Linked DNA regions of Bombyx mori. The main gene of each other region encodes a partner of the protein of the gene in region 2 in a complex. Links are inferred from orthologs where the notes say so. Each region holds a gene or a part of one and is shown on either strand. Other genes may lie near its edges.

Evidence for each region. The genes of interacting proteins can lie anywhere in the genome.
Region 1: DNA-directed RNA polymerases I, II, and III subunit RPABC1 (region 2) and p53 and DNA damage-regulated protein 1 share a complex: the UniProt entries of both Homo sapiens proteins name them as parts of the PAQosome complex. The link is inferred for Bombyx mori from reciprocal best matches to the Homo sapiens genes POLR2E and PDRG1.

What each region holds. Positions count from the first base shown.
Region 1 is NC_085121.1:8,869,132-8,871,553, forward strand, and holds p53 and DNA damage-regulated protein 1, read right to left. Parts: upstream 1,358-2,422; 5' UTR 1,273-1,357; coding exon 874-1,272; 3' UTR 614-873; downstream 1-613. UniProt on the Homo sapiens protein: May play a role in chaperone-mediated protein folding.
Region 2 is NC_085125.1:6,611,474-6,615,238, forward strand, and holds the start of DNA-directed RNA polymerases I, II, and III subunit RPABC1, read left to right. Parts: upstream 1-1,164; 5' UTR 1,165-1,359; coding exon 1,360-1,416; intron 1,417-1,487; coding exon 1,488-1,576; intron 1,577-2,549; coding exon of another isoform or gene 2,550-2,627; exon of another isoform or gene 2,628-2,677; intron 2,678-2,932; coding exon 2,933-3,111; intron 3,112-3,765. Other genes in the region: leptin receptor gene-related protein, read right to left, coding at 2,550-2,627; piggyBac transposable element-derived protein 4-like, read right to left, coding at 411-418. UniProt on the Homo sapiens protein: DNA-dependent RNA polymerase catalyzes the transcription of DNA into RNA using the four ribonucleoside triphosphates as substrates.

The DNA.
Region 1 (2,422 bases), on a different chromosome or scaffold from region 2:
AATTTTTTTTATTTACCACACATTCTTCCATTTATAATTGCTACATTCATATCATACCACTTGGTATGTGAGTGGTATTTTGGTGGCTTTTCCGTTGTGTTGCTACTTATTCAATTTGTCCCCGATAAGACAGTAGTGCTTAACTGTACCCTCTATACTTGCATACTCCTATTAATGTTACACATTTATTTTGAAAAAGAATCATATAAATTTAAAAATAAAAGTAACACTGATATTTAGTAGCTTTCGTTTGCTTCGTGATTTTGTCAAACATTTAAATTTAAAGGTTCAAAATTAAAATGACCATAAAAATTCTGACTTAAATCTTTTATGGACCACAATTTGAAATCATTATGAACATATAAACTTGTAGGAGACAGGTATTATTTACTTTCTTTCAATTGTCACTACTTTCCAAAATATTAAAAACAAAAGCAAAAACTTTTATCAATTTCATTTACTATGAACAAAATGCATTCTGACATTTCTCAGTATGAAATGGGAGATTTCATAATAGCAATAAAGTTGAAATTTCCATTTTTAAACGCAAATAAAAAAAAATCCAATATATATTTATATTTTTGAACTTGTGTAAAAATAAAACAATCATAGATTATTCTCAATTCTTGTACTGTGTAATGTCAAAACTGGGTTTTACAAGCACTGTGTTATACGAGGGATGCCCATAATAATATATTATTATAATTTTACCTTCTGACATGAACTTTCATAATGGTCTACTCATTAAATACATGACAGTCAGCAAAATTTCAGAAACCCCTATTACCTCAATAAAATAGTGTAGCATTCTCCATTTCTGAATAATCAAAATTAAATATTGTTACTATTTTAAGTTTTGATTTTACTTTTCCATTACAAAGAAAATAAATTACTTTTTGTTAATCCTTCAGTTTCTTTCTGGGACAGAGGTACTAACATTAAGCCTGGAACTGGTGGTTGCATTTCCAGATCTCTCAATGTATTGACTTTGATTTTCAGGTCACTCCTCAATTTGTTTATGTCAATATTTAATTGTTTTTGATCGGCTTCCAGCAGAGTTTTAGTATCTTCAAACTTATGCTTTACGAGTATTGATCCCACCGTGAGCCAATATTTCTTCTGACTTGATTTAGTAAGATCTCTTAACGCTTCTCGATTTTTATTTCTTCGTTTATCTAGCATTATAATTTCATTTTTATCAACAAGAATATCAGATGCAAGTGTTTCTATTTGTTTTAAATACCTCAATAGTTTTTCTTGATTATTTACCATGTTTAGTGCATGTTTAATAACTTTTGTTCGTATTTTTAATTTTTAAACGAAGCCAGCTGATGTCACTTTTTTTTTTTAAGGGATTTTATGACCTGGTAACTGAGACCTTTAAGTCATGTCTTATTTTAATTTATATTCATATTTTTATGAAAAATGATATTATGGAGTGAAATGAGATGAAGACGACTAATTTAAGACATTAATCAACTGGGATGAAATTAAATGAAATGAAATGGGATGAAATATAATCTCAGTAAAATGGTGGTCATTCACTAAGATTTTTTCAGTGGACTTTTTGGAGGATCTCAAGAAGTTACGTCCATTGGCTTTGTTTCATTTTCCCACATTTGTGCACTTTCACAGATATTAAACAGTTAATAAACCACCATTATTACACATTTAAACCCGAAGAAACACTAAATAGAAAAAATAAAACAAATCACACAACTTCACTCCTGAAAAAATTTGGGACGGAACTTGAGAAGAGGGCCAATAAAAAATTTCATATCCTTTTTAATTAATTTAATTTGATATTCTGTAGATATTGTAGCATATTTTAGTTTATAACTGTATATATGTTTAGTTTATAATTGTATATTTTAGTACTTTAGTGTAGATAGTATGGAGTTGGAGGCGGGAACGGATCCCCCGGATCCGAATATTACTGAGGAGACAACTGATACGACTAACTCAAGGTTTAGCCAACCAATATTTTTCTGTGATGAGTTCGACCTTTCCAATGTATCTGAATTTGTCAACGTTAAATCGAAGAAATCCCAAAAAAAGAAACAACTTGTTAATTCTTTTAAACCAAAGATCTCGGACAAACAACTTTCGTTGCGCCCGCTGCAGCAGGCTTTGGCGGGAAATCTTGCAAATAACGTAAATAAGCTTATAGTGCCTCCTCGCCAAATTGTACAGACCTCACCAGAGCCTACTTCAGCGAGTCCTTCTATGACACCATCTGAGACCCCAATGGCTGACTCTGTTTACAGAAAAAAATACACTGAACAGGATCCCGGCCCATATATGGTCCATGTTACTTTAATCTCAGATTCTAATAGTACTACATCACTGCACCCACTTAAATTTGGAAATTTTCTAAAGAAAAGCAATCTTGGTAATATATTACAGGATGGAATTAAACGAG
Region 2 (3,765 bases):
AAAGTTTTCCAAATTATTTGTCAAAGCAAACCAAACACCATATAAAAGTAGATCCAATAGTCTTATCCATATTATGATAGCGAGCGAACAAAATGGCCGCGTTGCCCGAAATAACCTAACTGTCATCGTCCCGGTCCGGTCAGTGGAGGGACGCGTGTTATTTTATTCGATATTTCTCTAATTAATGAAAGATTTGAATAAATTTACAATTTGGAAAAGGTTAATAGTTAAGTAATTATTTCATTGTTTCCATAAATTACACAAATCTACCAATATTTGGTGCTAAATGAATGGTTTGTTTGGCCGACATGAGCGTGTGCTAAGCCTGAGTAGGTGTTAGATATCAATGTTTTACCACGAAAAGCGTGTCAAAACACGTACAAAAACAAAGAAATATGCTTATTACATACCTTTCCATCGCTTTTTCAAAACTTTATCTCGTTATACTGTCGTCAACCACTTAAAAACACTTGAAAATAGACGCACAAACACTTCCAACTACTCCGCGTTAGCAAGTCCGGAACAATGAGGTTTTTTTTCTTAAAAACATATGTAAGTTTACTTAAGAAAGCGTCTATATTTTGTCTTTGTTTAACGTTCTAGCAGTTGTATGCGTTAGAACACTGCAGAACGTGTTTTAAAGTGCGCTTTTCGAATGAAAACAGCGGCATCAAATTACTGACCGTTCCGGTCGCCTGCCAGCTAAGCGTTTATTTTATCATGACCGGAGCGGGAGGCTGCCACCATGGCACATTTTTTCCGATGGCGTCTGCCATAGGAAGGGATATTGCAGACCATGATTCATTTTATGTAAATATGATGACAATATATTAAAAATGAATAATTCCAAGAATACTGCCTTTGAATATGGATAAAACAACAAAGCTTAAAGATTTAAAATGGATATTAACCGTATAGTTTTTAGAAAAAGGGGGCTGAAAACAGAATAAAGTGGCCGAATTCAGTTTCTCGGATTCTTTCATTTATTAAATTGTCAGTAAATTCCGAACAGTTAATGAGAGGTTCATTAATTTCATCTCATCTAACAACTACGGTGCTGTATATATCTCATCAATTAATAATATTTTAAGTTATTAATTTTCATTCCAAGATCAATTATTTTTCAAAAGATAGACATGAATGGCTTTTGCTATAAAAAAATCTATTGTATGGACTGTGATTCCTTTGCGTATCTGTATTCTGTCAAAAGAAACAATATTCTTTAAAAACATTACAGGCATAGATTATACACTTATGATTACAGGATTTACAGGTAATAATACCTAGCTATAACAAGAGAATCAATGAAATTATCGTTTGTAGGAAAGGGATTTATCAGTTTTAAGTAGATTATAAAACATGGATGATGACGCAGAAACTTACAAACTCTGGCGTATACGTAAAACTGTAATGCAGGTGAGGTTATATTTGATGCTATTCATCTTGTTGGTTGGATTCTAACAGTAACCGAGGCATAATATTTACAGTTGTGCCATGACCGAGGATATTTAGTCACGCAAGATGAATTGGACCAAACTTTAGAACAATTTAAAGAGCAGTTTGGCGATAAACCAAGGTATACTATTGTTCTTATAACCTTATTAATCTGATACGCTCTAGTGTAGCCAGAAAGGCATTCGGACTTCGGGCTACGAGCAATGCATCCATCAAAAAATTTATTAATTTTATAATTTGCGTATACAGTATTAAATAAACTATCATGCAGTGACACATTTATGCGTCTGGATTGAAGATCTGGCAACGGTTAATACTAATCAGCAAGATCAGTGGAGTTTGCAGACCCCGTTTCTATTTTCTTTTCACTGTTATATTTTGTTGTAATTTTAAAGTTGTCCACTATAATTGAATCTGCTACATGTTTTTTTATGGTGGGATAGCACTGTACCGTTTTATATTGTCAAAAATAAAATATGTTTAGATCTTTCCATTGTCAATCCATATGTATAATGTTAGGGTTATTCAGTTTAAAGCTAATTGTAGGTAGCTTGAATTTTTATATTTTTATATTTAACAAATCAGCCTCAATGGTCCAAACATTAAATTAACTTTTAATAATTTGTTAATTTGTCCCTACATATGTATTGTACAAGTTGTTTAATTTCAAGTCAGAATAATTTGAATCCAGTTTGAAGTACTGAGTAGCTGCAAGTGAGGTCTCTTGTATGAAATCAAAACACAAATATGGATTTGTAAACACTACTGACCCATCATTTTGGTTCAGGGGTATTGTAGTACTGCTAAGTTTCAGATCCAGCTACAGAGCAATTCAACGTTTTTGTCTTAACACTTGTTATCTTTCTTAGAAGCTTATTGGAATCTCCAAATTTAATAGGTTCTCACTATTAACATCTTTAAATTTACTTTCAGTTTCTTTCATCAGTTTCATTGCTCAAAAACTTTTTTGGAACATTAACAGCCTTTTAATAAAATGTTCATAATTTGAAAAGTCAGCACAAGTCGGCAAACTTTTAAGGAATCACAATATAATGAGTGTTTTCTACCAAAATTATTGTGTACTAAATTGACTTACCAAAATATAACTGAGCTGTCTGAGATAGAGAGCGATGTACTAGACTGTTTTTAAATTTATTATCTAACATTTCCATTTCTTCAGCTGTCCTTTCAAAATTCTTGAAAGTGTGTAATTTAGCATCGAAATATTTCACAATGAAATGTCACTTTGACTTATAAAAATGATTGTTGTCAAAGAGAATAATGTAAATACTACCTCTATAGTAAATGATTATGTAGTTACTGTGTGAATAATTGGAAATTTATGTTACCAGATCATTCAACTCATGGCCAACAATAGAAATCTGTGGGTTAATGATGAAATTAATATGAAAATCATCAACTTTGAGTTGATTTATAAAGAAATCTAGAAATTAATACAGCATTTTAATTTTTTTAGTGAGAAAAGACCAGCAAGAAGTGATTTGATTGTGTTAGTGGCTCATAATGATGATCCAACGGATCAGATGTTTGTTTTCTTTCCTGATGAAGCTAAAATTGGTATAAAAACTATAAAGACATATTGTACAAGAATGCAAGAAGAGAATATTCATAGGGCTATTGTTGTTGTACAGGCGGGTATGTATCATTAACTAATCAAAAGTATCCTACATAGTACTCGAGAATGCACATTTTTCTCCAAATAGAGAGCAAAATAAGTGTCTTGGTTTTTACTCCTTAATTGTAAAACTTTGTGGTTTTGATTGTATTTTGGAAACTCAATGTATAAATATAGCTTTAGTGGTATTTTCATAACTAGCCACTTCCTAATGTGTACATATATCGATATATATTTATTAAATGCATGAAAACCTTATCTGCACACTGTTCATCCATACTATGTGGAACCATGCGTTCATCGTCAGTGCGTTTCCAGATATCTTTTTGCCACATACCATCCGGCTCTGGAATTAAATCTACTCCACAGTACTTCCTGAGCACTATGATATGTCATTCTTCAAACGTGGCTTGAAGGTGTTACTCTGAGGTAGGCAGCAACTTGGCTGTGGGCTTGCTGCTGTCCATGAGCGACGGAAACCACTCACCATCAGGCTGGTCGTATGCTTGTAAGCCGGTTACAAAAACTAAAATAAACCTCTGCAATCTACAACTGCTATTTTCAAAGGGAATTTTGTATTATGATGGCAGCCATCTTCGCAATATCAAAGAGGAATACTAACAGTAATTTCTTTGAAATTGATGAGTCAGAGATATGAAAAAAAAAACTCGTAT